Linked DNA regions of Schizosaccharomyces pombe. The protein of the gene in region 3 binds, or shares a complex with, the protein of the main gene of each other region. Each region holds a gene or a part of one and is shown on either strand. Other genes may lie near its edges.

The links.
Region 1: sfc1 (region 3) and sfc3 share a complex: the UniProt entries of both Schizosaccharomyces pombe proteins name them as parts of the TFIIIC complex.
Region 2: sfc1 (region 3) and sfc6 share a complex: the UniProt entries of both Schizosaccharomyces pombe proteins name them as parts of the TFIIIC complex.

Annotation. Positions count from the first base shown.
Region 1 is NC_003423.3:2,743,444-2,755,675, forward strand, and holds sfc3 (transcription factor TFIIIC subunit Sfc3), read left to right. Parts: upstream 1-7,439; 5' UTR 7,440-7,471; coding exon 7,472-11,491; 3' UTR 11,492-11,718; downstream 11,719-12,232. Other genes in the region: DNA polymerase delta catalytic subunit Cdc6, read left to right, coding at 400-628, 681-3,712; hen1 (S-adenosylmethionine-dependent methyltransferase), read right to left, coding at 3,748-4,884; ribonuclease H Rnh1, read right to left, coding at 5,348-6,074, 6,259-6,326; protein Spc24, read left to right, coding at 12,062-12,215. UniProt on the Schizosaccharomyces pombe protein: TFIIIC mediates tRNA and 5S RNA gene activation by binding to intragenic promoter elements.
Region 2 is NC_003423.3:2,257,747-2,267,673, forward strand, and holds sfc6 (transcription factor TFIIIC subunit Sfc6), read left to right. Parts: upstream 1-4,438; 5' UTR 4,439-4,467; coding exon 4,468-5,410; exon of another isoform or gene 5,411-5,452; coding exon 5,453-5,569; intron 5,570-5,612; coding exon 5,613-5,816; intron 5,817-5,863; coding exon 5,864-6,348; 3' UTR 6,349-6,418; downstream 6,419-9,927. Other genes in the region: SPOM_SPBC21H7.03C (multiple inositol polyphosphate phosphatase), read right to left, coding at 1-289; ATP-dependent RNA helicase Dbp7, read left to right, coding at 1,068-3,197; hikeshi family nuclear import carrier Opi10, read right to left, coding at 6,556-7,127, 7,254-7,284; imidazoleglycerol-phosphate dehydratase His5, read right to left, coding at 8,920-9,570. UniProt on the Schizosaccharomyces pombe protein: TFIIIC mediates tRNA and 5S RNA gene activation by binding to intragenic promoter elements.
Region 3 is NC_003424.3:1,328,878-1,338,832, forward strand, and holds sfc1 (transcription factor TFIIIC subunit Sfc1), read right to left. Parts: upstream 6,457-9,955; 5' UTR 6,267-6,456; coding exon 6,153-6,266; exon of another isoform or gene 6,097-6,152; intron 6,045-6,096; coding exon 4,788-6,044; 3' UTR 4,470-4,787; downstream 1-4,469. Other genes in the region: RNA-directed RNA polymerase (RDRC) Rdp1, read left to right, coding at 1-23; phosphoribosylformylglycinamidine synthase Ade3, read right to left, coding at 385-4,356; serine/threonine protein phosphatase PP2A regulatory subunit B-56 Par2, read left to right, coding at 7,051-7,443, 7,512-7,755, 7,828-8,024, 8,075-8,469, 8,525-9,179; geranyltranstransferase Fps1, read right to left, coding at 9,575-9,955. UniProt on the Schizosaccharomyces pombe protein: TFIIIC mediates tRNA and 5S RNA gene activation by binding to intragenic promoter elements.

The DNA.
Region 1 (12,232 bases), on a different chromosome or scaffold from region 3:
GTTTTTGGACAATTGCGTCCTTTTTATTACTAATATCTTCCATTAATAATAAATTAGTCTTTTGTTATGCCCAAGAATACATTAAGTAGTGGTTTATGTAGCTTGATGGAGATTGGTATAAACTTGTATATTTGATTTCTTTCTCCATCGTAATTTGACAGCTAACCTATTTAATGTGGTTTTACCTTTTCAGCAGTTGACACTCATACCAAAATTTATTGGTGTACGCTTTGAACTTACCTACAAGATATTCGCCTAAGTACCTATTTGTTGTTACCTACAAAACCCTTTTAGTTGCTCGTCTTCCTACCAAAAACCAAGAGCATGTAAGCTTGGTGTCTTCCTTATTTACCATTTTCTGTTCTAATTTTCATAATAAATAAAAAATTAATTACTAGAATGACAGATAGGTCTTCAAATGAGGGCGTCGTGTTAAATAAAGAAAACTATCCATTTCCCCGAAGAAATGGTTCAATTCATGGCGAAATTACAGATGTCAAACGGCGACGTTTAAGCGAAAGAAATGGATATGGTGATAAAAAGGGCTCATCCTCAAAAGAAAAAACTTCATCTTTTGAGGATGAGCTGGCTGAATACGCTTCACAATTGGACCAAGATGAAATAAAATGTAAGGTTTTTTGGATAGCTAACCATTTATTAGTATACTGACTCCTTGATAGCTTCAAAAGATCAGCAGTGGCAACGACCAGCTTTACCTGCAATAAATCCTGAGAAGGATGATATTTATTTTCAGCAAATCGATAGTGAGGAGTTCACAGAAGGATCTGTACCTTCAATTCGTTTGTTTGGTGTTACTGACAATGGAAACAGCATCCTTGTTCATGTTGTGGGATTCCTTCCGTACTTTTATGTTAAAGCCCCGGTTGGATTTCGACCTGAGATGCTAGAACGTTTCACACAAGATTTAGATGCTACTTGTAATGGGGGTGTGATCGATCATTGCATTATAGAGATGAAGGAAAATTTATATGGATTTCAGGGAAATGAAAAATCTCCATTCATTAAAATCTTTACTACTAACCCTCGTATATTATCTCGAGCACGAAATGTATTTGAAAGAGGAGAATTCAACTTCGAAGAGCTTTTCCCTGTTGGTGTCGGTGTCACTACTTTTGAGAGCAATACGCAATATCTTCTTAGATTCATGATTGACTGTGATGTTGTTGGTATGAATTGGATTCATCTTCCTGCTTCAAAATATCAATTTCGTTACCAGAATCGAGTTTCTAATTGTCAAATTGAAGCTTGGATTAATTACAAAGACTTGATCAGTCTTCCAGCTGAAGGCCAGTGGTCTAAAATGGCCCCACTGAGGATCATGAGCTTTGATATTGAATGCGCAGGTCGCAAAGGCGTTTTTCCTGATCCCTCTATTGACCCTGTAATTCAAATTGCAAGTATAGTAACGCAGTATGGAGACTCCACTCCTTTTGTTCGTAATGTCTTTTGTGTTGATACATGCTCACAAATCGTTGGAACACAAGTATATGAATTTCAAAATCAGGCTGAAATGCTTTCAAGTTGGTCAAAATTTGTTCGTGATGTTGACCCAGATGTTTTAATTGGGTACAACATCTGCAACTTTGATATCCCTTACCTCTTGGATCGAGCAAAAAGCTTACGCATTCACAATTTCCCATTACTTGGCCGTATTCATAATTTTTTTTCTGTCGCAAAGGAAACCACGTTTTCAAGTAAAGCATATGGTACTCGTGAAAGCAAAACCACTAGTATTCCTGGGCGTTTGCAGCTTGATATGTTACAAGTAATGCAGCGTGATTTTAAGCTTCGATCTTACTCTTTAAATGCAGTCTGCTCTCAGTTTCTAGGCGAGCAAAAAGAAGATGTACACTATTCTATCATCACTGACTTGCAAAATGGCACTGCCGATTCTAGAAGACGTTTAGCTATTTATTGTCTGAAAGATGCATATTTACCCCAACGCTTAATGGACAAATTAATGTGTTTTGTTAACTATACTGAAATGGCAAGAGTAACAGGTGTACCGTTTAATTTTCTTCTTGCTAGAGGCCAACAGATTAAAGTTATTTCTCAATTGTTTCGCAAAGCTCTTCAACATGACCTAGTTGTTCCAAATATACGTGTAAATGGAACAGATGAGCAATATGAAGGTGCTACAGTCATTGAACCGATTAAAGGATACTATGATACCCCTATTGCAACACTGGATTTTAGTTCACTTTATCCTTCGATTATGCAAGCCCATAATTTATGCTATACGACATTACTTGACTCAAATACTGCAGAATTATTAAAACTTAAGCAAGATGTTGACTACTCAGTGACTCCGAACGGAGATTATTTCGTTAAACCACATGTTCGTAAAGGACTACTCCCTATTATCTTAGCTGATTTACTTAATGCACGTAAGAAAGCAAAAGCAGATCTAAAAAAGGAAACGGACCCATTCAAAAAGGCTGTTTTGGATGGTAGACAGCTAGCTTTAAAAGTAAGTGCTAATTCAGTATATGGATTTACTGGTGCTACCAACGGACGTTTGCCGTGTTTAGCAATTTCTTCTTCTGTTACCTCTTATGGTCGACAAATGATTGAAAAAACCAAGGATGTTGTAGAAAAGAGATACAGAATTGAGAATGGATACTCTCACGATGCAGTTGTAATCTATGGTGACACTGATTCTGTTATGGTTAAGTTTGGCGTTAAAACGTTACCTGAAGCCATGAAATTAGGAGAGGAAGCAGCTAATTATGTTTCAGACCAGTTTCCGAATCCTATTAAACTGGAGTTTGAGAAAGTGTACTTTCCATATCTTTTAATTTCCAAAAAACGTTATGCAGGATTATTTTGGACTCGTACAGATACTTATGATAAAATGGACTCTAAAGGAATAGAAACTGTCAGAAGAGATAACTGTCCTCTAGTATCTTATGTGATTGACACAGCTTTGAGAAAAATGTTAATTGATCAGGATGTAGAGGGTGCACAGTTGTTTACAAAAAAAGTTATTTCCGATTTGTTACAAAACAAAATTGATATGTCACAACTTGTAATCACAAAGGCATTATCAAAAACTGATTATGCTGCCAAAATGGCACACGTTGAATTGGCTGAGCGAATGCGTAAACGAGATGCTGGCTCCGCCCCAGCCATAGGAGATCGCGTTGCATACGTTATTATTAAAGGTGCACAAGGTGATCAATTTTATATGAGGTCGGAGGACCCTATATATGTATTGGAAAATAACATTCCTATTGATGCAAAATATTATTTGGAAAATCAACTCTCCAAACCTTTGCTTAGAATTTTTGAGCCTATTCTTGGTGAAAAAGCTAGCTCTTTACTTCATGGTGACCATACTCGGACGATTTCCATGGCAGCCCCCAGTGTTGGAGGAATAATGAAATTCGCAGTAAAGGTTGAGACCTGTCTTGGATGCAAAGCTCCCATAAAAAAAGGTAAAACTGCTTTATGTGAGAATTGTCTAAATAGATCGGCGGAACTGTATCAACGTCAGGTTGCTCAAGTGAATGATTTAGAAGTTCGTTTTGCTCGCTTATGGACTCAATGTCAGCGATGCCAAGGAAGTATGCATCAAGACGTCATTTGTACCAGTAGAGACTGCCCCATATTTTATATGCGAATTGCAGAACACAAGAAACTTCAGCAATCTGTTGACTTACTGAAAAGATTTGATGAAATGTCCTGGTGAAAAAGATGGATGTTTTTAATTACTAAATGTGTATATCAAACGTAATGATGAAAAGTTATAATAAAAATTCTACTTTTCTTAAGTACTTTTGCAATGCGAAAACTAAACGAGTTTGCCAAAGCTATACCTTTATGTTTGCTTTTTTTTAATTCAGGACAATATGATAAGTAAATTGAATCATCATAATGGAAGGCATGTCGAATGAGAGGCGAAGACTCCCAGATAAACAAGAAAGGTAATTTTACTGACAAAGCACACTTGCCAGCAATAACCTGGAATAAAAGTAAACAGTGACGTCCAAATAAATGATCAAAAAATGCTTTTTTCAGAAGATTCATAAATTGCTGCACTGTTGGAGGAAATAGTTGCTCCATAAATGGGTATGTAATCTTTTTGTAAAGAAGGATGCTTGAATTTTGGTCTTTTAAGAAGCAATGAGAAGCAGCATTGTTTTTAGATTGATGAAATACTGCGATTTGGGTGCAGAAACCGTAAGTAGATGATGGGCGAAAATGTAACAAATCGTCACCATCTATTAGATCATTTAGCAAACCACAGCCCGTAAATTCAACAGTATACTCTGGGTATCTTTTACAAATTTTATAAGCCCATTTAGCAAACTCTTTTCGATCCCATTCAAAAACGTGTTCAGGATGTCTAAAATTGGTAGAAGTACGAGATGATATACTACTTGTCAAGGTTGATAGTTTCTCAAAGATTGTGTTAAATTCAAAATTCGGAGTTGACACTACGCAAACATTGGGCTTCAAGTTTCCAAAAACAAGTTTTTCAAAGGCTAAAATCTCTGCAACTTGACAATGCTCAATAAACTCTGAAGCTACAACCGCATCAACATGTTTATAATGAGTAAAATCTTTAATATTACCAAGCAATAATTCAATATGTAGCGGTCGCCAACGTAGTTGTAAAAAGTCTTCGGTTCTAACCTGTAAAGCCTCAGTAGCTCTTTCAATACTTTGTTCGTTAATATCAATACCGGCCAGAAATTCTATAGGCACTTGATCATTGCAAGGTACTAAATATGATAGAAAACGAGCATCTCCACATCCAATGTCTAACAAAGATCGCACAGGGAAGCCTCCTTGAAGTATTTTAAATAATTTCCTTCGACGCTGTACATGCAAAGGTGGGTAAAAGCTAGAGACACCCATTGTCTAAACTCAAAGTATTTTTGGTACACTTTCTTCACGTTAGTCAAATAACTACCTATTAACTGTGAATGTTCGTTTCAAAACCACTATTTAAGCCTTTTCAAATTCATTACGAAGCGAATTGTTATTAATTCTTTGCTAAGTCCATTGCAATATGATTTCGATGACTGCCGTTAAGACACCGAACCAAATTTAATTGAAAAGGGAATTGTTGACTAGTGCGAAGTGTCATTTTCAACGTTAAATAATAAAATTATCTTAGCTCCGAATCTATACTTTTCAATTTCCTCTTTAAAATTGTTATAATAGCATGATATTTAATTACAATAAAATATGTAGCATTATGCAAAACGAGAACAAAAAAAGCACATACAACCAGCGAAGAGTAGACGAAAATTATACGGCAAATTTCAAAAGAATGTACCTATATCCATTTTTTACAGCGCTCATCATAGATGACCATTTACTCAGAAGCTCCTCGCCGAGCAAGCATATCGGCTTGTTGATTACCGTAATCGGTACTGTGTCCTTTCACGTACTCTAGCGAAACATTTCTGTCACTCATCAAATCTGAAGCGCGGTTGATCAAATCCAAATTTTTTACAGGTTGTGAATTGCTAGTCTTAAAGTCATTTTTCTTCCATTTAGGCAGCCATGTGGTTAGTGACTTAATGGAATAATTGCTGTCAGAGCGGATGGTCAAATCGCCAGATGTATTTTCAAGGGCTAGGATTATGGCTTGCAATTCCGCACGATTGTTGGTTTGCTCTTCCCCAGCCAACGGTACTGAAATATTTCTTGGGTCATCATTTCCGAAAAAAACTCCACAGCCAGCAACAGCTCCTTTTTTCCCATTTCGCAAACTAGAACCGTCAGCATAGACGACCTGTCGATCCGAGCACGCAATTGATTTTTCATGAGTGTCATTCGAAAATATTTCAATATCTTTTTCGGTACTATAACTTCTAGAAATTTTCTTTCTATATTTATCGGAGTGTCTAGCAGAGTAATTTGAGGAACTAGAAGAATATGGAGAGTACCCATAACTTGTTGTACTGCGGCGATATGGGCCAGAAGACGAGGAGTAGCGACTTCCTTCGGTCCTGCAAAATTCCTGAGCAGCCTCATAGCTGTCAAATTTCTTGTAGCGATTACCTCCATAACCTTTCACCTGATCCGACGCCTCATCCCTAAAAATTAGTAAGAGTTTGTTAAACAACAAGGTGTATCCATCAAGGAAATGTTAATAAGAGATCATCTTGAAAAAACCGATTCAGATTGAATTGAAGCAAAGCATACGACCGTATCGAAACTTGCTTAACGTGAAACTTATATTTAACAACGAAACCATTTTCTTGAGATACGCAGTCTTACCATGTACTATATATACCAGTATTTCGACCACGCGCTACTGCATAGTATGCACGCTTATTTCCACCCATTTCGTAATGCGAAGATTCAAAAATAGCTTTAAAATAGTAAAACTTAGTAAAACTTGGGAGTTTTTCCCAAAACTTTGCAAAAATACTTGTAGTTGACAAATTGAGCTGTAGTCTTATGAGTTATTGAAAATAGTGCAGAAAAAAGAAGGATTTGGATTTATAAATTTATATTAATTTGTAAAAGAGTTCAATTGACGATTAATAATGGTAGAGCATCAGGAAATGTCACATATCTGGACTACTGCAGTACGATACATAATAAAACGGGTTTGCTTATTTACTAGCTGCATAATCTCTGCACACTATATTACGGTAAGCTAGTTAGATCTCCGCGACTGTTATACCGCCTGACATTAAAATTAATACACAATTGATAGTATATTTTATTAGTTAAAAGCTCCTTAAATATAGAATACTCATTTTATGTCCTTAGCTCATTTAATGTAGTCTAATTTCAAACAAGCAGAAAAATGTATTGTTTGTTTAGTAATAATTGTTTAAGTCATTTTACCTTTTTAAGATTATACTTTCATAAAGAATCCTCATCTCTGTTGGCCTCTGAGTAGTTTGCAAATTGCGCAATTGTTATTCTAAAAAGAATCTTTTAGTCAGAGAAAAGATTATGCTTTTGCAGTGGGTATTGCCGCGCGTAGCAGAAAATTTGTAAACTATTCCACCATGTGCCCTTTTCAATTTAGTGCTAATTAAATGTTCAGTTTTGCGGACTTTAGCGTTCACTTCAATATTCCAGAATTCATATTTAAAAGAAAAGTTTTGAGAAAGTTTTCTTACTTTGTTTTATCAGCTGTATATATCATTTAGAGCTGTGCTTTATGTAACCATCATTTCGGTTACAAGGTTGGCATATGAGAATATACTCATAATAGCTACCATCTGCTTACTGAATAAGAGCATATTAAAATGTGAACCGATTTAGTCGTTTATTGTGTCGGTATACTATTTAGCAGTCGTATAACTCAATACATCGGTTAAAGTATATTAAATATGTCTTTAAGTTCTTCTGTATAAAATTTAACAAAATTTTAAAAACACTCATAAAGTATCACTATTTTCACTAACTTTCACCTCTCGAACCACGCTTTCCTTTTGTACATAGTGTTAGAACCAGCGTTCGAATCGCCCTTATGGATTCACTCATTCGGCATTGCTCAGAAGAAATTGCTTTGGATGGATCATCGGGATGTAGCATAGATCGTTTATGGGAATTTGCTGCAAATTTTTTTTTTCGGCAAGGTATCGTACAAAATTTAGACGATAACTATAAAACATTTGTGTGGCCTTTAATTTTAAAAGAAGATGGAATTGAGGTTTGGATTGAAGATGAAGATGCCACTGGATTACGAAGTAAAATGCAAGAAATCCCTTGGAATTACCAAGATATCACGATTGAGTTACGCGCTCGTATACGCTTATTCGCTTCAGAAGACAGGCAATGGCTTACTCTCACTTACAAGACGAAGACAGATTCAAAAATTCAACCTTTAGCCTTTGAATTATTGTCTTGCATATCTAGATATAGGCAGGAAGGTGTTGATAGAATCCAATTATGTAAGGAGACTAAGCAGGAGCCTCGAAGCGTTTACGGTCGTATTCAAGCGCTAGAAGATGCTTCTTTAATATCAAAGGTTGCCATTAATCGAAGCAGAGCACAAACTGCTCTGCTAGTTCTAAAGCGATTTGAGTCAGAGAACAGCACAATTAACGAAACTGTTGCTCAGGTATCTGGTAAGCAAATTTATAACACTGAAAAAATTCGTAGCAATATATGTGATGCTGTTCAGTCTTCACGTAACGGAATTTGCCGTCATGTTGATGCTCGTGCGATGGTGAATTTAAACCACAGTCGCTGGGAACGAAGATATTATGCTCGACAAGTTACATATTTACACAATAATGGATACCTTCGCAAATGCCTTACTTTTGTTCCTAACTCTCCAGAGCGTTGCATTCGCTGTTTACAATTTATAAAACCTTACATTTCATCTTTAGACGCAACTGAGGACGACGTTGATTTTACTGAAGTGGATGATATTCCAGAAGACGATGAATTAGAGGAAGAAGAACCACTCCTTCCGTCAAAAGAAGAATTTGATGCTTCCTTTTTGCAGCCACTAGCCGACGTTGGACCTACTCTTCCCCAATGGTCTCGTTTTCGTCCATTGGAATTCCAGTGTTTTGTCTTAATCAGAAATGCCGGATTTCATGGGGTAATCACTTTACAAATTTTGAGTGGCCTTACAGGAATACGTTTTAACAAACCTTTATTTAAGCTCCTTGGTTCTTTAGTGGAACATCGTTCCAGTGTGCCAAACCATCTCTCACACATGAGTATTACTCGATTTGAAGATAAAACTAAAAAGTCGAGACAATATAGATACTTTACGCTTCAGTCTCAGTTAAATCGCCTTATTCGAGATGGCATTCCTGCCGAAACAATTTCGAAGCTATTACCTCACGTTCACTCACTCGCTGGTGAATTTTCTCCAATTGACTCTTCCCTTTTCTTAAATTCTCTACATCATAAGGGAAATATGGAATCTAATGCGGAAGTATCTCCCGACGGAATGACTTTATTGCCAAGAAAAAGAGGTAGACCTAGAAAATCTGCAAATATTTCTGTAACCTCATCTCCCATTCGGCCCTCTAAAAATGAAAATAATCTACCTTCCCTTGCTATTTCACCAGTTTCCGAAGGGTTCATCCAAAATGCTACAATTTCTACCCCTAGCACTAGTAGCAACCTAAGCATAGCAGGATCTTTGACACCCTCGAAAACGTCACGAATTTATAGAGGCCTTGCTCCTCTAAAAAACCCAGAATTTAATGAAGACCATGTTAAAAAAGCAGAACATTTGGAGCCTCTTTTGAACGTGTCATCAAGTGTTCCTTCGAAGAATTTCACGGTTAGTTCGCCAGATCACCTAAAATATGGAAACACATCTTCTTTACAAGTCTCTGATTCTCAAAGCTCAATTGATTTAGACTCTTCATTTCATTATCCCGTTTCAGTAGACTCACAATTATCCCATTCGACAGGCAGTCTAATGGCTAACTTTTCATCCCCTACGAAAAAGCGCCGTTTGGAATCTGTAGACTTTATATTCCTACAACGTAAAGGTTTAATTCTTTCCTATCTCGTTGAACAGAATGGGGCTTTTGAAATATCTCGAAAGATGTTTGAAGACTTGGCAGACCTTAAAGTGCGACGAAACCCGGAAACTTCTAGGACCGTTATGGATAGGAGAACTTTTCAGCAAACCCTTGAAAAATTAATGCAAGAGAAAAAGGTTCGTAAATTAGTGATTGCAACAAACAATGGACTTGGGAAGCTCGTTAGAAAAGATATCGTGGTACAATACGATATGAAGCCTGATTCACCTAGGTTTCAACAGTTAAGAGCTCAAATTACAACTCCTGAAATCGAAAAACAATCAACTCCAGAAATATTAAAAGATGTAGATGTCGATTTTTTGAAAAGGAATACTTCTTTGTCAAGGCGTAAATCTATGCCAGCGGAAATAAAACGTCACAAGGAATCTTCTGAGACTAAACCTGTTGATAAAGAGGAGGTGAAGAAAAATGAAAAGGAGAAAGACGATCCAATGAGACTCGCGCAACAACTTTTAGAATCATTGGCTCCCGATTTCGCACTGCACGAAAATACCCAACAGAAAAGCCCAGTAGAAAAACCTAAAAAGTTGCGGAAAGATAGATACGCTTCAGTGGAGGAATTTGATTATTTTTCTTCAACTGAACATGCAAGCAAACGTTCAGTTAAACGCTTCAAAAATGATTTTACATCAGATGAGGATGAGACCTTGATTAGAGCGGTTGTTATTACTCAAATTTATTATGGTGGGACCAACAGATTAATCAAATGGGAGGCTGTACAGAAATGCTTTCCTAACCGGGACATATATGCTCTTACTAGAAGATATTTATCCATTAGACAACATACAAAATTTAAAGGCTTGCAACAGTTTTTATCAGAAAATTGGCAGCAAATGTACAAAGATGCTGTCTCAAGAAAAGATTTAATGCCATATCCTGATTCTGTTGATGATTTTGATCCTACCCCATATGTTAAGGCGTCTTGTAGACCTTATATGATTAGTTCTTCAAATCTTGCTACTACTAGGTTACCGAGAGACCTCGTTGACGTTTATGAAACTTACAATATAGAGGTTGTTAAACAAGAAACTAATTTCCGGGAAATGATATTTGATCCTTCCCTGTCAGTTGCCTCGAAAATGAATGCGTATTGTGATATGCCTTTTACCATGCCGCTTTCCTTAAATGACAAACAAAATAATGAAGGGGATGAGAATTGTGAGAAAGGTCAGTTGTTTGATGCGAAGTCTACTATCAAGAGCATCGTTGCCATCCCAGACGCTACATATGATGCTCGGTTTTCGCAAGAACGTCTTATGCAGTATCCAGAAGATATTCTCATCGCTGCTCATCAAGAATTATTGGATAAGAGAATAATTACTAGAGTTAATTCAGAAAACAGTAGATTGCAGCCTGGTCGAAACTTCCAGTTTACGGAGAAATTTGCAAGTTCCCTCAAGTCTCCTTTACCTCCATTTTTATTGTCACAAGCCAAGCGATTTAATAAATTTTTATTGGAGGGTTTTCAAAATCATAAGAATCATTTATTTGAAGAAACATCTAACAGTGGAACTCTCGCATGTATCCTTGATTTATTATCTCAAGGAAAGTTGCAAATATCTATAGTCGGAAGCAAGTTTAATGAGTATGGTCTATCTGAAGGCTATCGTACTCGTTTGCTAGAACATGACAATATCAATGTAACTCTTGTTCTCAGCGGCAAAGAAAGTGAATCTAAAAAAAATTATGGTGTTACTGAAAAGTTGGCAACTCCACCTTCGCATGAGCCACGGCTATGGTTAAATGGTAAATGCGAGCTTATTGAGATGATATGGATGAATATCGAGCAGTCCATTGTATACCAACTGCTTCGAAAACCCGGAATCTTGAGATCCCAACTGACTAACTTACTATTTCCCGGATTAGAACCCCGTGAGTTTAACGAAGTACTTGATTACTTTATAGCAGCAGGTGCCGCTATTGAAAAGGATGGCTTATATCTAAACCATAATTATCTCTTTAAATTAACTTAGCCTTTTAAATGTCACCATGATGAGATGATGCAAGCTGAGTATTTTCTTTCAATAGGCTTGTCGATTTGGAACATTTATATTACAAGCAACGATTTAATGTTTATTTGTACAGTATTTAGGATTCATTTTTAAATTATCTAAAAGATACCACGCTGTGTCTGCTTCTAATCTATAATTAATTATATTAGCGTGTTTTGAATTAATCTGATTTCGCGTTTTCTTCCATCTAAACTTTATATCGTATAAAAATCAAAAAGGTTTCATCGACTGTTTTGCTGAAAAGGTGAAGAAAACTTGAATCGAGGTTATCTCTTTTCTTTCTGTTTTATGTACATAACTTTAGCTCCTATAGAAAAAAGAAAAAACCTGCATCATGTAGATTTGTTTAACTAATTTACGTATGCATATATATATATATATATATATATTAGTAGAGTAAGGTTGATTTTCTAACCATACTTTATTTACGGTAGCATCATTCGTACCTTTTCGTACGTTACGACCACGTTGAAAGTTTTCAAAGAAATTACTTTTTAAACACAAAAGAACATAAATAAAAGAGAAGTAAATATGTCAGACAGTCCAATTGAACTTATGCGGTCCACGCTTGCTGGTTTTCAAATTGCACCAGATGTGAAAACCATCTCAAACATTCAAGACATTCGCGCACAGATACAGAGCTTCAGAGAAAAAGAATTGGAAGGATCTCAAACCAAATTTAAAGGTTAGTTTTAATCTAGA
Region 2 (9,927 bases), on a different chromosome or scaffold from region 3:
AAAGCTTTTCCTGAAAATTATTTAAATATTGTGAACTATATACATCAGTGGCAGTTACATCGCCCGTTGGGTTTCTGGAACCGTGACGTTGAAGAAGATGAACTTGTTGGATCTCACAGGTTTCAGGGAAAGCAGAATCAAGACCATCAAAGTAGGGCTCATGATAAGGACTTAATGTTCCGAGATGTTCCTTGAAGAAAAAATTGCTTTCATAATCCTCAAACTGAACATTATCGGCATTGACGATGAACGCAGCTAAGAACCAGAGAGAAATGATACACAACTGCATCACGAAAATATATCAGCCAAACGAGTAAAAGGCCTTCTTAATTATTCGATTAGTAAAGCAGAGCTTTTGAGGAAGAAAAATTAAAGGATCAAAGTAAGAAATTGATTAAAACGAGTGACAGTCCATTCAACCAACAAACTGCTGGTCAATTGAGGTTAGGAGCGACTTTGAAGGATTAATTGAAAGGTAACCATTAAAAGATACAACGTAATGGTCCTATACGTGTAATTCGTGTATCTGCCAACAAAAGCTGGTAGCTTCCACTAAATTGAAATCTGCTGCCGATGCCGTTCCAGTGAAAACGTAAAACATCATGGCAGACGCGAACTGTTAATGTACGTTACAGTCAATACGGATACAAATAACGAGTTTCGACTAAACATTTTAACACGTATAAGAATTTCGATGTTAAAGTTATTTATAGATGTGCATGAGCGCGGTATTTCCTCCTGAAGCATATTATCTTATAAAGAAACATATATATTGCGCTTATTGTTATTCTTATACGCAAAGTATCTATTAATATTTTTAAATACAAATTAGGTCAATAAAGTCCGACTGAAGGAGTAATTTATGTTTTTAACAGTGCTTCTCTAGGTTTAATATTACTTAAATCACCTATAGCTGTAAAAAGGTAATAAATGACCTTTTGGAAGAATACTTGAATGCGTCTCAAGTATTTAACGCGGTCTAGTATAGCATAGCGTAATGGAGTACAATTAACTAAACTAAGCACGGTGGAAGCACAAGTTTTCAAATTTTCATCAACTGTAAGCAAATGGCGGACGAACCATTGCTTCTCAATTTTGTTGTTGATAATGCTCAATCAAGAAAGCCTGAAGCCTTGAAGTCTAGTCGTCGCTGGACTGATCGCGCTAGAGATAGAAAAAGGCAAAAACGCAATTCTAATGAATCATCAAAATCAACCGTTAAAAGAAATTCAGGCACAAATGGTGCTTCCACTGATTATAAAAATTCACAAAAGGAAAAAGTAATAAATCCTGTGTTTGATCCTAGAAAACCAGCTCATGAGCTAAAAGGCAACAAGCGCGATAATACTTTTGTTACATCTTTGTTTACGGGTGATGATTCTGAGCATTTTTCACAGGACGTTGGTCAAAATCTTGAGGATAATCAAATTAGTAATATTGGGACTACAAAGGAGGCATCCAACGCACCTATTAAAACTACCAACTTTGCTGGTGTTCAATTAGATACTCAACTGGCTGATCATTTAAATAATAAAATGAACATTAGCGCTCCCACTGCTATCCAAAGCTGTTGTCTTCCAGCATTGCTAAACACAGATGATAAGGATGCGTTCATTGAAGCACAAACCGGATCGGGTAAAACTTTGGCTTATTTACTACCAATTGTGCAACGATTGATTCGACTTCCTAAAAACTTACACACCCGTACTAGCGGTATATATGCTGTGATTATGGCTCCAACCCGGGAGTTATGCCAACAAATTTATAACGTTGCTAACAAGCTCAACAATAATCCGTTATCACACTGGATTGTCTCCTGTAATGTGATAGGTGGTGAGAAGAAAAAAAGTGAAAAGGCTCGCATACGAAAGGGTGTTAATATTTTAATTGGAACGCCTGGTCGTTTGGCGGATCATTTAGAAAATACGGAAGCACTGGATGTTAGTCAAGTACGATGGGTCGTTTTGGATGAAGGTGATAGGTTGATGGATATGGGGTTTGAAGAAACTTTGACTAAAATTTTATCTTATTTGGAATCACAAAGCAGTATTATTAAGAAGGATCTCAGTATTCCTTCTCGTAAGGTTACAATGCTTTGCTCCGCTACAATGAAAGATACCGTAAAGCGTTTAAGTGATTCCGCTTTAAAAGATGCTTTGTACTTAAAATCATCTATTGTGGAGGAAACCAATGACGGTTATAGCCAGGCACCCGAGCAGCTTCTTCAAAGATATGTTGTTGTTCCTCCAAAACTGAGGCTTGTAAGCTTGGTTGCCCTATTGCGAAGTCATGTTAGATCATATAAGAAAATAATAATTTTTCTTTCTTGTTCAGATAGTGTTGATTTTCACTTTGAAGCTTTTAGATGTGCGATAAACGCTGATGAAATGGAAGAGGCCGTGAAAGAGAAACCGGACTCTGAGGGTGATATCATTTCAAATGCTCCAGCTCTGAGAATAGATGGCAAATCAAATGTATACCGATTACACGGTTCCTTGTCTCAACAAATCAGGACTTCGACGCTGAATCTTTTTTCTTCAAGTGAAGATTCTGGTTCACATATACTTTTGTGTACAGATGTGGCAGCCCGTGGTCTTGATCTGCCAAATGTTGATTTGGTTGTGCAGTATGATGCTCCGTTTAGTACCGACGATTATTTGCATAGAATTGGCAGAACAGCTAGGGCTGGACACAATGGTGCAGCTATTATGTTTTTACTCCCGAAGGAAAGTGAATATATTAATTTGTTAAAGTCTTCAGTTAGCGCTAATATATTGGAGCAGCCTAATGGTCCATCTGGGTTGTTGAGTGCTGGTTTTTCGCAAGGTAAAACAAACACCAATGATTGGCAAGATCGTGCAACAGAATGGCAGTTGGAATTGGAGCGTTTTATATTAGAAAATGAACCTATGAGGAATATTGCAAAAAGGGCTTTTACTTCTTATGTGAGGGCTTATGCAACACATCTTTCATCAGAAAGAAGTATTTTTAACATGCGTGACCTTCATTTGGGACATATTGCTAAGTCCTTCGCTTTGCGAGAAGCGCCGGGCAAAATATCTGGTGCAAATTCTTCAAAGCCAAGAAAGCAGGGTGGTTCGGTTGATAAAGGTAAAAGTAAATCATCGAAAGACATTGCTGCTTTGATGCACAGAAAAGCAATGGAACATTATTCAACGGAACACAATATAGGATAAACATTATTTGTGTAAAATTTAAGGTTCAAACGGTTTTTGGTTGGCATTTGTATATATTTATATAATTTAATTTCGATCTTTTAAACGCAATAACAATCTTTCGAAGATAAAATCTCTTGCAAGTGATTATGGAGAAGTTAAGTTATCATTTCTAAACAAGTATTGAGAGGAATTATGAATGGCGTGCCATGGTAATGCTTGGCAATTGTATCTGCTATACAGGTTATGTATAACAGCTGAGATATATCAAACACCACATAATATTACTATTGCTGCTTATGTAGTAGTCTTGCACCATTGCGTTATGTGATAACTCAATTTCAAGGACTCACTATCCCTTATCCAAATAATATTTGTAATGTCAGTTGTGGAGCTACTATTTTAAATTATTAAAAGATTCAAGACAAAAAATAAAAAAGTTAGGAATAGCCTACAGCACCCCGGATTCCCATGTTGTCTCCAACCATAGTACTAACGAGGCCCTCAGACGCTTAACTGCAGTGATCGGACGGGAACTGGTGTTTTCGCCTAGGTATGGCCGTAGACGTTTGTACCTAACGATAATTCTTTTTAAAATTAAACAAACAATTAGAAAATAATGAAATCCAAGCATCAAAATTTAAAGATTTGATCAAGAAAAAACTGCTATAGGAGGTTCCTAATATTAAGTTTGAACTACTGATTAAATTATTTAATAGTAGCATCACATACTATTCCCTATAATCCTTTAATAGTGTCAGAATAATGCTCTCAGCAAACCCGTAGTAATTGAAAGAAATTTGTTGCATATTTACCAGTGAAATTGAGCTAACATTTCACATAACGTTTAGTAGATTCAATATAACTATATATATATTTTTTTCGATTACCGAAATACTTCCTTTGACAAAATCGTGTTAACAGAACTAAAAATGAGGAGAGATAGGCTGGTAAAAAGAGCAATCGAATTTCATTGAATGTGTTAAATACTTAAAATAAATTTAACTATTTGCAAAATTTATTCTTTATGAAGTTTCTGCATGGACTCGTATTAACCAACAAATGTTTGAAGTTAAGTCTAAGTTTCACACTCACAATTAAAGCAGGATTGAGCTGAACCAAGACGAACAGCAACAAATTAAGAATTGGGATTTTTTAACAAATTAATTTTTTCAAAGTGGAATAATTATTTGAAATAAATATTTTCTTTGAGCACTTGCAAACGAGGTTTTGATTAGGTCAATATTGCTTTGATGAAGTTCACCACCATTCCTAATGAATATTGACGCGTATGGGCCCTAAATCTAAGGAATACGAAAATCCAAGCTCTTATAAAAACGATGAAGATAATGATGATGACGGCGATTTTGTTTTAGAGAACGTTATGTCTGAAGAAGACATAGAAATAGAAACACCGTCAAGAAACCGAAAAAGGGTAAGTACTACTCGTCGAACCCCCTCAAAACCTATTAGAAGTCAACCTTTAACACCTTCATCTTCCAAAGGCGCTGGGAATGAACCGAAGAGTCAGAATTCTAGTACTACTCGTGGAAGTGCTAAAAAGCAAAGTTCAAAAGGTTTAGAAGAGAAGTTAATAAATTCTTACGGGACTCACGTTGAATCTTTAAATAAAGGAAGGAGGCTAATCGAAATTTGGAAATATTATGAGACTGCTCCTGGTCAATCTTCCTTTGAAGGTCAGACGTCGTCTGATTCCAAGTTGCAAACACTTCTGAATCTCGACGGACAGCAGTTATTATCATATTCCGAAAATCCTTTTTATTTGTTTGAAGTTAAAAATTTAAGCATAAGTTTCCATTTTGAATCACCACAGCAAGTTGAACCCTGTCAACCGGTAAACCCTTTTAAGGAAAATCCACAGAAATCGGGGTTTGTGGTGAATACAGGGATTCCTTTATCGTCTGTTTCATGGTTACCAACAAATAAAGAAACACAGTTTTTAGCTGTAGGAGGGATGCTAAAATTTTCAGAAACTACTGAATCAGTATTTATGCGAACTTCTGGACGGAATCAAATTCAACTTTGGAAACTAGAAAACAAAACCAATTTTAAGTCGGAATTTATATTGTACCATGATTGGGGAAGTGTTCTTCAACTAGAGTGGTGCCCCACAATTTCGGTTGAAGATTCCATTCTTGGGTTTTTAGCAGTTGTCTGCAGCGATGGAAAGCTGCGCGTTCTTCGTGTACCTCGATCACCAGTAAAATTTCATGGTATTAAACATCTTTTTTTTTCATTCTCCTAACATGAACTAGTATTCGTCGAACAAGCAGACTTTACTTTTGGATTTAATGATTCTCTTATTTCTTGTTGCACATGGGTTTCCCCAGAACATGGCGATATACATCAAATTTTGGTCGGCTGCTCTAACGGTAAGCCTGTTAAACTAAATTATTGTTACTAATTAAGTATAAGGTTATTTAGCTCTGTGGGATATTTTGAGCAGCCAGGAATGTCCCCTTTTTTACATCCCATATCATGATTCTTACATACATAATGTAGTACAGTGCCTGGATGACTTTCCGTGGCTTTTTCTGACCACTGCATTTGATTGTTATACTCGAATATTTGATATTCGCGATCCCATAATTGATAATAGACCGCTTTCTCATAAACGAGGTACGATTATTATTATTATAGCTTCTTCCGAACTAACTTAATATCAGATATTTGTTACACAATCACTTGGAACAACATGTTGCAGTCGATTATCTCCTGTAGCGAATCTCAATCTGTGGTCATCGAATCTTTACGAGGCACTTCGACACAGTTATTAGATGAAAGAAACGGCTCAATAATATCTCTCTCAAACAGCAAGTTCCATCCTTTTGTAGCGTGTGCTGCTTCGGATGGAATAGTTACGATCGTCAATCCATTCCGTCTTTTGGGATTCTCTCACAAACAAAAAGCTAATGTGCATAGAATATTCCAGTTAGAATATAGCGAAAAACAGGATTCATATCGTATGTTAGATGGTTTTCGTCCAAGGCTTCCCAAAGCCAAAAAGCTAGACATGTATATTTATCCATGGCAAATCCAAGTGAACAAAGTCGAGTGGAATGGAAACAAAGGTTATGCTGGTTGGTTAGCTAGTGGTATGGCTTGCGGAATCCTACGAGTTGAAGATCTCTCAGCCGTTGAAAGAAGATGATAAAATTATCCTTTATTAATACAATATATACGATTTTTTATAAATAAGATCTAGCATTTGTGTTTCATCACTTTTTTTTGGAGAAAAACACATACATTGTATTCTATTCTATTTTTTCTGCATCATTAAGATATGGTTTTATGTACCATGTCGGTAATTTTCGTAGGAAATAAAAATGAGGTTCAAAAACGGCATTCAACCTAAATGTCAAATCTGATCTTCAGAATCTAAAAAGTTTGGATTATTTGATAACTTGTTTAAAAATTTTGCATGCCAATCCTGAAAAACTCGAAGTGGTATGAATGTATCATTGGGCCGCAGGTCACCTAACCCAATGGAGTTGGGAGGAAGTTGAGATGTCGCAAAGCTTGCTAGGAAATTATATAAGTTGGTTAAAATTTTTTGGGCAACAGAAGTTACGGGAGGTAAGGGTTTGGCGATGACATTCGATGCTGAAGTGCTTACAGCTGGTGTTTCTGTGAAATTGGTCAAAGGCTCTACACTAATACCTAACATGGCAGTAATTCCAACGCAATTTTCATTTTCCGAAAGAGTTTGTATGGTGTTTTTTAAACGGAAAATTGCACTAGGCTTTTCGTTTGTCAAATAACCTAAAAATTGAAAAGGCTTTCCAGGCCATTGAAAGTAAACCTTAGCACCCATTCCGACTGGGAATGGAGAGTTTGGCAAAAGAAAAACCACAATGTGATTCAAGCTTTCCGCAGAGTCTAGTTGGAAGACAAATTGATTATCGGCGACTTGTTGCAAATTCGTTTGCACTAGATTGTGTATTAGTTATGTGTATATAATAAAAACATTTATTTAAGTTTTATTTTTGAACTTCTAGCGTGAAAAAACTTCGTTTAATGTAAAAATTGTGCGAAAGTGCCAGAGAAGCGACATACCTAATCGACCAGCACAGATGGCACCAAACATGATTTTCGTTAAGTAGAAGAACTACAAGTACGCAGGAAACAAAAAAATATAGAGTAGTCTTTTCTTTGAAAAAGTCGTCTGACAATAAATTGGCCTGTACGAAAGGTTAGGAGTAAAAAACAAATCCCGTTCTAAAATCCTGCTACTTAGAAGAAGTAAAAATCAAGTAACAAGGTTGCTACATTTGATGACGTAGTATGGACTGGTACACAGGGTGAGGATAGAATGAGAATTAGCATAACGTTCTAAAATTTATTATAATTTTTTTTTTTTTTTATTTTTGTTGTTATTTATTTATTTTTAATTGGATTTGTTGACTTACAAGCCTATTTATGCGTTGTAATATTATCATTATTATTATATGGTATTTTTTTTTATTTGAACGATTCATCCACGTTAATAAATAAGTTATAACTACTAAAAAAAAAAAAAATTATATATATATATATATATCTACATGGAATGCTTGTTTGTGTCATGGGTACTTTACTATTCAAAGTACCTGAGCTTAGTACTTACCTATTTAATTATGATTTTTTGCGTATGAAAAGCATCTAACGCTTCTTTCTGCAAACACGATTTTTTTGGACTGCTGAGTTAAAACCTCATAACCGCATTTTTTAACGCAAACAGTGAACGATTAGGGACGAATTATCAACTGTTTTTAAGCAGATGTCAGTTTCAATACAACTAGCTACAAATTCTAGCAACAGTACGGTTGGACAAATAAAATATATTCAATAAAACATATGTGATAGTACAATTACGCATTCTGTTTTGTTCCTCCACTCCAAAGCGAAAATTAATTCCTCAAACATTTTTTTTATTAACCGAATCCATTCTGCAGATATTTGTAGTCAAACAAGCAACTAAATGTTCTATCAAACCACCTACTAATTAATGAAGATACAAACGATTGATCAAATTAAAAAGCATGAATGTCTCAAATCTAAGAATATTGATATTATCAAAAAATCACGACTAGCCTAAAAAATATAATGTACACCACAAGCGAACCGAATTTACTATCAAAACCAGTAAACAAGGATTGTAAAAGGTGTTTGTTCTAGGTCTCAAGCCATTTAATTACAACCTCATTGCTTTAAGCCAGACTGCAATTGGTAAAAGAGACCATTGGCAAAGAAAAATTAATTCCTTCAAGTAAATATATACCGAGAAGCAGAGAGCAGTCACATACGTTGAACAGTTGAATTCGTTATATTACATAAAGAGTAGCACAGTATTCAATCGTTCCATGGTATAAACAATAAATACACCAAGGATAAAAAATAAGAAATCAGCGTTACTTAAAAGTATTTAATTGTAGTGTACCCATATGGAATCGGACGTTTGTGCATCATTAATTTTACCATAACCGCGGAGTTTATACTTAAAGTCGTATAATAAAGTGAGTATGGTAAGTGACGACGCATTGAACAGCAAAGTGTCTCTATTCTATAAGCTGAACATTCAATTCAATTTATACGGCTACGTACTATATTCCTTCACGAGATAACGCTTCTAATTAACGTAATTATAAAGCAAGTAAGGTTCTATTGTTTTCAAGCAACTCTAAAATTTAGACAATTTGGATGCAAAATTGTCGTTCTTTTCCTGACATAATCCAATTCATCTTTACAACACTCCCTTCGTGCTTGGGACTTCAGAACTTCCAGTAAGACTAGTAGCCGCGCGCATGGCAACAGCCAGAGATTTAAAAGCGCTTTCAGCACGATGATGGTCATTACTACCATATAAGCAGGTAACATGCAAAGTAATTCCAGCTGCTACCGAAAAGGAATATAGTAAGTGAGGGATCATTTCACAGGACAATTCCCCAACCTTTTCACGCTTTAATCCCAAATCGATAACAGCATAGGGCCGTCCCGACAAGTCAACTACGCTTCTAGAAAGAGCTTCGTCAAGTGGACAATAAGCATGTCCAAATCTTTTAACGCCGGCAAAGTTACCCATAGCCTGCTTGAATGCAATACCAAGTGCAATAGCAGTATCTTCTGCAGTGTGATGATCATCGATGATTAAATCACCTCTTGAGTAAAGTCGTAAGCTCCAGCCTGCATGTTTAGCCAGTGCATGATACATGTGATCCAAGAATCCAATTCCCGTGTCTACTTGGATTACTTGTTCTCCCTTTTGGTTTGCATGCTTGGAAGTTATAAGTTCATCAATAAAATTCGACTCTTCAGGTAAGGGAGCTTTGTCCAAAGCGATGGCAACGCTGATTTTCGTTTCGTTCGTATTTCTTTCTACAAAAGCCCTCCTCATCGTGATGCAAAACTACTCTTTTCAATTAGATCAACCGAGAATTACAGGAATTTATGGAAAACTTCCTTATTAAAAAATGACAAATAGTTCGGTGTCGTGAAATTGCAAGCCTTTTCACCCAAAAGATTTTTGCTAGATATTAGACTACCGCTATATCCAGCAAGCCAATTACAGGTACGGTAATTATTCGATAAAGCAAGTCAACACCCCATACACAAGATATCCTTAAACGAGGTGAACGATGTTTGTTAAAAATTCGCTGAAATTGGTTATTCATATTCAACGATATAAATGAGTTCAATGTCTTATTGTAAATAGCGTATTTAATTAACATGATATTAACTTTTCCTTAGCTTT
Region 3 (9,955 bases):
TGCTTACTGCTAATAATTTTTAAATCGAATATACATTCGAAGCTTTAATTGCTCGTAAAAGGCTAATAGTAATTGTACTCATTATCGACAATGGAACATAGAACAGCAAAACAGGTAGCTAGAGTTAACATTTAACAAGACTGTTGTATGTTTCTGCTGAAGGAAAAGAGTTGTCATAATTTTTACACATATACTCGATGGTTAAAGCAATTTAATCGTAATAATGTATAATTAACGATTTTTATATCTGCCAAGCTTAATCTAATTTTCACCATTAATTTAAGTAGAATAATTATAAAATTTTGTAACACGAAACAAACCAAAACTGTAAAGAAACTACGGCATGTGAACTCCAATTCAGCTTCTCCGGGCAAGATAAATGCTTTAACCAACCCATTTTCTAGCAGATTGGAAAAGACGGATCCAAGGACCATGAACGCCCCACTCGCTAGCTTTCGAATGAGGGTAATAACTGTTTGCAACTTTCAAAACTACACGTTCAGGGTGAGGCATCATAGCTAAAAAGCGACCACAAGGGGAGCGAACACCAGCTATAGCATCTCTGCTTCCATTAGGGTTGAATGGATAACGGCTAGTACGCTCGTTGTAGTTGTTAACGTAGTATATCAAATCCAAACCTTCCTTCTTAAATTGTTCGTAATCGGACTCTGAATCGAAAACAGCTCTACCTTCTCCATGGGCAACGACCACGGGTAAACTAGATCCAGCCATACTTTCAGTGAAAATGGATTTTGAACCACTTGTTTCATCGATCTTTAACATAACTGCACGACCTTCGTATTGCGCTGACTCATTAAATGTAAACATAGGCCAGCTTTTAGCTCCTGGAATAAGTGATTTCAGACGACTGAACAGTTGACATCCATTACAAATACCCAAACCAAATGTGTCTTTACGCTCGTTAAAGAAACGGTAAAACTCATTACGAGCATCTTCGTGAAGAAGGATGGAAGTAGCCCATCCATTGCCAGATCCTAAAACATCACCATAAGAAAACCCACCACAAGCAGCAATACCGACAAAATCATCCAAATGAACTCTACCGCTGAGGATATCAGTCATGTGAACATCCACGGCAGTAAAACCGGATGCATAAAAAGCATATGCCATTTCCAAATAACCATTTACGCCTTGTTCACGAAGAATTGCTACTTTGGGACGACTAGTTAAAGCCAAATCAGCGGTAACTGACACATTTGGATCAAATGTAAGGTGGTATCCTAAACCAGGATCATTATTATCGGCAATATTTTCCATTTCCTGTCGTGCACATTCAGGATTGTCACGAATTTCTTGCATTTTATAAGAGGTTTCATGCCAAATTCCGTGTAATTTAGAGCGAGTTGATTTGAAGATTATTTTACCAGAACGGCTAAAAGATATTGTTTGAGCCTGGCCGGAAAGTACTTTACCGATGCGATGAACACAAGTACTCAAACCATTAGCAGCAAATAACTCCAATACCTTGGCAATGTCACGATCACAAACTTGAATTACAGCGCCTAATTCTTCATTGAACAAAGCCGCAATATTATCGGATGACAAAGAATCTAACTCACATTCAATACCAACATGACCGGCAAAAGCCATTTCACTAAGAGTAACAAACAAACCTCCGTCAGACTTATCATGATAAGCCTGAATGTAGTTGGTTTTATGCAGTTGAGTAATAACGTTAATGAAATTCTTGAAAGTGTCTAAATTATCAAGATCCGGCACCTCATCACCCAACTGCTTATAGGACTGAGCAAGTATAGAACCGCCTAAACGTTGTTTTCCATTTGCTAAATCAATAAAAATCAATGAGGTGGATCCGATGTCCTCAACTTTACGTAATTGCGGAGTCCAAATGGAATAAAGATCATCAACAGGAGAGAAGCCAGTAATTATAAGTGAAAGAGGTGCAGTTACGGATTTCTCCCTACCGTCTTCATTCCATTTCATACTCATGGACATTGAATCTTTACCCACAGGAATGCTAATACCAAGTGATGGGCACAGTTCTAAGCCTATCGCTTGCACTGCTTCATAAAGTTTTGCACCTTCTCCAGGATGCGAAGGAGCTGCCATCCAGTTGGCGCTAAGACGAATACGATCTAAAGCAGGAATAGATGCTGCTACAAGGTTCATAATACATTCAGCGACAGCCATTCTAGCGGAGGCAGCAGCGGATACTAACGCACTGATTGGCTTTTCACCCATTGCGAGGGCTTCACCAGTGTTAATTCCCTTTCCATAGGACGTGACGGTTACGCCAACGTCGGCTACAGGTACTTGCCAAGGACCAACCATTTGATCACGAGCAATCAGACCAGTGACACTCCGATCTCCGATGGTGATGAGGAAGGATTTAGACGCAACAGCAGGCATTCTTAATACGCGTTCCACAGCATCAAGAATTGGGTCACTCGATGGCGCCAGATATGACTTCAAAGAAGAATCAAATTTAGATAAGGGAATTGTTTGAGTTTCAGCTACTCGAGACATCTTGGGAGGCTTGCCAAACAGTACTTCCATAGGCAAATCAATTGGAGTAGTATTGTAAAGTCTATCGGTCAAAATCAAACGTTGCTCTACAGTAGAGTAACCAACAACTCCATAAGGGCATCGTTCTCTTTCACAAATGGATTTAAAAGTATCCAGGTCTTCTGATTTAACTGATAAAACGTAACGCTCTTGCGACTCACAACACCAAATTTGCATAGGGGACATACTAGGTTCAATACAAGGGATATCGCGTAATTCAAACCGGGCACCCAAACCAGCATCATGAACCAATTCTGGCAAAGCATTGGATACACCACCAGCACCGACATCGTGAATTGACTGAATTATATTCTCGTCCATAGTTGTACAAGCATCAATAACCATTTGGGCACGACGCTGCATTTCAGGGTTACCACGTTGAACAGATGCAAAATCTAGTTCCTCAGAGCCTTCACCAGCATTCATACTGGATGCTGCTCCTCCACCCAAACCAACTAATAAAGCAGGACCTCCTAGAACAATAATAGGACTACCAGGTGCAATACTTTTTTTGAAAGCATGCTGCTTGCGAATACGGCCAATACCACCAGCGGCCATAATTGGCTTATGATAACCACGTATCTCAAGAGTTCCATCGCCGCGTGGAACTTCCATACAAAATGTGCGGAAATAGCCATTGATACAAGGACGTCCAAATTCATTATTGAAAGCCGAACTGCCAATTGGAGCCTCAAGCATAATATCAAGAGAAGTAGCAATGTGATAAGGTTTTCCAACATCCAACTCCCAAGGTTGCTTGTAACCAGGAATGTTTAAGTCTGAAACGCTATAACCGGCAAGTCCCGCTTTGGATAAAGAGCCTTGCCCGACAGCTCCTTCATCACGAATTTCGCCACCTGATCCGGTAGCGGCACCAGGAAAAGGAGAAACAGCGGTAGGATGATTGTGTGTTTCAACTTTACCAAGAAACTCAACCGGTTCATCCTTCATTGACCAGATACCATTGACTGGAGCAAACAACGTTCCCGAATTTCCCTCAAAGACAGCGGCGTTGTCAGAATAAGCAGAAATTGTATATTGGGGATTTTTTAAATGGGTATTTCTAATCATTTTAAATAGACTGTAGTCTTTCTTTTCGCCATCAATAGTCCAATCAGCATTGAAAATTTTATGACGACAGTGCTCTGAGTTAACTTGACCAAACATGAAAAGTTCGACGTCTGTAGGCTCACGACTCTTTAAACTAGGCTCTGAGGTATAGCACTCAACCAAATAATCAATTTCATCAGGTGCCAAAGCTAATCCAAACTTCTTATTGGCATGATTCAATCGCTCGGTTGCAGCCTGCTTGTCACCACCTTGCCCACAGTTAAGCTCTATTCTCACAAGTGGAGCTGGTTCGTGCTTATCAAAAACTTCATCCTCTTCCGGAAGTTTAAATCTTAAAGCTTCAGTCATGCGATCATAAAGATGATTCAAAGCAGATTTAAGCATCTCTTCTGAAATGTCATCTTTAAAAACTACTGAATAGGCAATACCTCTCTCTATACGAATCACATCTTTATATCCACAAACATTGGCAATGTTCGTTGCTTTGGATGACCAAGGAGAAATTGTTCCTGGACGTGGAAACACATATACCATCGTTGTTCCATCAGGCTTGAATTCAGATTCTTGCAAATCAGACAAAATTGGTCGCAGACTTTCGCAATTTAAAGAAGAATTGGACTTAGTATAGATCAAGTAGAAATAAACAGCATTTAGATCAGAAACTCCAGAAACTGTTAGTTCCAAAATTTTTTTTTTACTCTGAACGCTCAAGGCAGATCCACCATAATAAACCAACATTTTCGTCTAAAATGATACAAACTCCAAAAGTACTATTGAAATAGTAGAATGGAGATACAATTACAACCTCGCCAAATAGGTTGGCTCAGTTTATGTACTAACAAGTCAGGAAAAAATATGTACTTTAAATTGCGCTATGCAGCGTAGTATTATTGTTTGGTTCATCCGGGGGCAATCGACTAGCGCACCACTAAGCAGCTGTAAGATTAAACATCTGATAAAATTATTGACATTTGTAACCACAAAATCAAGCGAGCTACTTCAGAATTAAAAAATGAGAATTAAAGATCAGAAACAATTGATAGTTGAAACCTACTCATAAGTTATGTTTTACAAGCCATTTACCATGGTCAGTTAAACAAAAAAGAATATAATGAAATTTAAGTTGAGTATAATTTTTTGTATCGAAGTACCTTGACATGGGGGGGGGTTCAATCACCAAATATATCATCGTAGTCATCATCAATTTCCTCTAAATCCTCAAAGCCTTCATGTTCTTGACTTCTCTTCATTAAATTCCTCATTAAATCATTTATCCGATCATCTGTTGCTGAAGTATTCAAACCTCTAACAGTATCATTTAAATCTGTATTATCCTGTTCATCAAAATTCGAATATCTGTCAGATTCCTCTACCTCTTCGGCGTTTAAAATCATATTCACCGCGACTTCAGAAGGCATTTCTCCTTCGATCAGCGCAAAGAGTTTTTCACGCATAAGATCTCTAACCTTATAGTAACGACCGCTTCTATACCATCCTGTGTCCCGATGACATTCAGAACGTAACTGAGTATCTTTCAGTAGTGGTGCAATTGTGGGATCTACGATATCGCACACTTGATAAACACGATTAGTGGGAAACAAAGTCTTGCCATCAAACACGTGAGTTTTAGTCCCTTTATGTTTTCCATTTAGCTTGAGTTTAAAGAACAAAGCTTGGTAAGCAGCTGCATTAGAATCTTTTCTAGGATCGTATCCAAACCGCGTATATGTATCTCTAAATGGACCTGAAGTCCATAAATAAGAAAGGTAAGGAAGAGCAAATTTCAAATAGTGAGTATATGACGGGTCTAGATGATTTAATAAGGCTCTTCTCGTCCAAACGGGTCGTTTTTCAAAAAGAGGTTTTAAAGCTTCTATAACTTCCTGAATTGTCTTCGAAGGCTCACCTAATTTTGAGTGTCTACATGTAGGTACACTTTCAACCCCCATATTTGTAGTGATAATCCAAACTCTGCATTGACCTTTTAGATTGACTATTGTAGTTTTCCCATTAGGTAGCCGAACTCGACCTACTAGTGGATTTTGCAAGAAGTTATAAGACATGGGTAGACTTGTCTGAGAGAAAACAGGAGGAGGAGGCATGTCGACATGTTTTCTTTGTACCGGAGTTAGATCGATGGAAAACTTATTAATGGCGTTATAGTCAAGCACTCGCAGAGTGGAATCTAATTTTTGAACGAATGGTGAATTTTGAGTACTATACTGGAAATCAGCCATATCTCTGAATAAGAAAACTTGACGAATTCTACTGACATTTTGCACAGAGTTGTCCATTTTTTTAATCGTTACTAATAGGTCATTTCTGGATTGCACTCGAGCTTGTACTGGATGATGGTATTTATCTTTAGGCCTTAGATTCAACTCCAACAGAGCTTGTTTTGGGTTTTGAAATGAAGTTTGACATGCCTAGAAATTGTTAGTATTAGGTCAAAAAAGATTATCAAATTCATGTTTTATAAAAGGGGAAGCTTAAAGATGTAAGCCGGTCATTCCTATACTTTTTTAGCAATTTACCTTTTGAATTGATTGAACACCGCCTAATGTCTGAAAAAATGCATCCTTGTTATTAGCAAAGCCCGGATGCTCAATGAGTGCATATTCATTGTCAGAAATTTTTAGACTATTCATAAGATATATGCCTAATATGGTATGCTATAAAACACTGGAAAAAGTAGGGCAAAGACTTTATATATATTTGCTTTTAAAGTAATTTAATTAATAATCTGGATAACTTATTCCTCAAATGAAAAATTAATTGATACACATCAATATCATTGCTTCAAAAGCATTTTAATTTTTTGGCAGCTAAAATAATGTTGTTCCAAACCTCGGACATCGTACAACAATACAGTAACATCATAACACAAGATTTTTGCCGATCCGTTAATTCACAGTACCAGCCAATTTCCCAAGTACGTTATTTCATACTACCAGCCTTCGGTAGCGTCCCATAACATTCGAGCCACTCGCCCCGTTTTGCTTCATTTGCCAAACATAACTCATAGTAAAGTTGTCATTACAGGAAGTTTCAAGGTTAACCCTCTTAACTATTCCCTAGGGTGTTTAGCTTATATACCCATCTTATAAAGGGGCTCAGAATTCTGTTACCGAGGTTGTTGCCGTTAACTCTTTGACTTGCCGAGACATATTTACGGAGTACTTGAAAGGAACAAATCATTTATTTACCCACCACATAAATTTACCCTTTTCTAACTCATCATTGTGTACAAATTTATTAACAGACGTTCTTTTGAAGAAAGACAACGTTTACATATTCAGTAATAGGTGCATTCATTTAAGTTTCGAAATTACATTCGGTCCCAATCCTAGGAATCATTCGTTTTTTAAATTTGGTTATTCGCTATCTTTATAACTTGCAATTGAGCAAGGAAATCATCTCATTTGCCTTTTAATGAAAGGATTAAGGAGTAAATTTGTAAAAGCACTTTCGTTGAAGGATGAACAAGGGTCACATAAAAATGGTCATTCAAAAAGCCACTATATCTCTAAAAATGGGTCTTACGTGGAAACTGACGACGTGAAGCACACAGACACTCACCATTCTTCAAAACACGAGCTTAAAAAACTTAAGAGTCATTTCCTAAAAGATACTTTAAAGCACAAACGAAATCATCATGCCAACTCAAATAATGAAAAACATGAAAATTCTGATAAAAAAATACATACGACGGTTCTAGCATCTGGACATGAGGATTCTGATTACTCTACGTTTTTGCCCGTAATTGAAACTTCTAAAGTTAAAGACGCCAACCATTTCCCACCTAATTATCCAGAACCAAAAAATGTAAGTATACGTCGGTTAGTTTAATATTTTCTACCAAAATGATTATTTTCATACTAACTTACTTGTAGGATTCTGTATCGTCTAACATAGACGAATTTCCTAATGATTCCATATCTTCTGCCTCATTTTTATCTGTCCCACAATCCACTCCTCCTTATTTAGTTTCACAGCCAACTCCCTTAAATAAATTTTTAGCAGGTGCTGAGAATGTTGACATTCCGCATAGTCTTAGACCAGTACCTCGACGCGAACACTCCTCTCAATTTCAAGTATCTGAGAAAAGAACATTAGTTCGGTTGCCTTCATTTGATGGTACGTTTAGTAAGATTCTTATATCTTATTTTAATAATGTACTTTTTTTTATTCTTGTGCTAATATAATTAGATGTTCATACCTCTGAACGTGAAGAACTGTTTATAAAGAAGCTTGAACAATGCAATATTATTTTCGATTTTAATGATCCATCTTCCGATTTGGCTAGCAAAGAAATAAAAAGAGAAGCCTTATTACAAATGATAGATTATGTGTCTGAAAACCGCGGTATTTCTTCCGCATCGCTTTTTCCTTATGTTGTCAATACAGTATGTTTACTCCTCTGCTTTTTATTACTGTAAAAATCTAATCACTATAGTTTTCCCTCAATGTATTTCGGCCTATATCACCTGCTCTTAATGATTATTCATCAGATATGTTTGCTTTAGACGATGAGCCTTTTTTGGAGCCAGCGTGGCCTCACTTGGAAGAGGTGTATTTATTATTTATTAAGTTCCTAGAATCTCCTGACTTTAGAGCCAGTAAAGCAAAATCGCTCGTTGATCGTAGGTTTTTTAATCGCTTGCTAGCACTATTTGACACAGAAGACCCGCGTGAGCGCGAACTTCTGAAAACAACATTACATAGGATTTACGGAAAATTTCTGAACCTTAGGTCATACATTAGAAAGTCTATGAATAATGTTTTTTTGCAATTCATTTATGAACGAGAAAAATTTCATGGAATCGCTGAACTACTGGAGATACTTGGAAGGTATGTTTCATTAATGGTTATAGTTCCTAAATTGATTTACAAACTAACTTATTAGTATTATTAATGGATTTGCTGTACCTTTAAAAGAAGAACATAAAATATTTTTGTCCAAAGTGCTTATTCCTTTACATCAAACTAAATCTGTTTTTTTATACCATCCCCAACTTACGTATTGCATTGTTCAGTTTATCGATAAAGATCCTTCTTTAACGAAGGCAGTCTTGACTGGCATTCTTAAGTACTGGCCACGAATAAACAGCTTTAAAGAATTACTGTTTTTGAATGAAATTGAAGATATCTTTGAAGTTTTGGAGCCTTCCGAATTTGTTAATATAATGTCCCCTTTATTTCAGCAACTAGCTCGCTCAATATCTAGTATGCATTTCCAGGTCGCCGAACGTGCCTTATGTCTGTGGAGCAATGAGTACTTCACAAGTCTTGTCAGCCAAAACGTAGTAACCCTTCTCCCTATAATATATCCTTCTCTTTACAAAACTGCTAATGAGCATTGGAATAGCACTATACAAGCTATTGCTTGTAATGTTTTACAAATTTTTGTCGATATGGATGCGGACTTTTTTAATGGACTTGTTGAGGATTATAAACAGGCCATTATAAAGCAAGAAGAAGTTATGATTATTAGAAAACAGCAATGGTGTCAGATTGAGGCATTAGCGGCGGAAAACAAACCCACTGATTATTTAAGATAATTCCTTCGTAAGGAATATGTTTATATATGTTACAACTATTTGGTCGCGGCAGAGAATAAAGTTTATTTAATTTGTAATCTTTAGAAATTCCCTGTTTATACGCGTAAACGCCAATTGGGATTCATTTTGTTTTTGCTATCTTTTATACACCGCATTTTATATACTAGTGTCAAGATTCATTTTGGAGTCGTATTACCACCTTTTGTTACATATTTTAATACGCCTCATGAGAACTGGATTTTTAATGATATAAGTTATGTAGTATTTTGCAGGTCCTTTACCAATACAATGATTCAATATTAAAAGTTGGTATTGTCAACAATGGATGTATTCTCTAAAAAGTATCTACAGCGCAATTGCCAATTTGAGTCGAATAAAAACATAGAACAAGAAATTTACTTATTTCTTTTGTAAATCTTTCCTAAGAAAGTGGTAAATATGGATTTTTTCAAACCGGTTGATTCATCAACTCCATCAATTAGCTTTTTGATTTCAGAAACTTCTGATTCCTCATAGTTCTCGAATTCACCACGGATATTGAGTTCCTCAAAAACAGCTTTAACTCTCTTTTCGCTTTCGCTATCTTTACGTCCATAATTGTCGTCCAAAATAACACGTTGTTCAGGAGTACACTTTGCGAGAGCAAGATTGATAATCCAAGAACATTTGTTGTCTAAAATATCAGTCCCAATTTTACCAGTTACCGTAGGATCACCATAGCAATCTAAATAATCATCTTGAACTTGGAAGTATTTACCAAGGATAATAAGGATGTC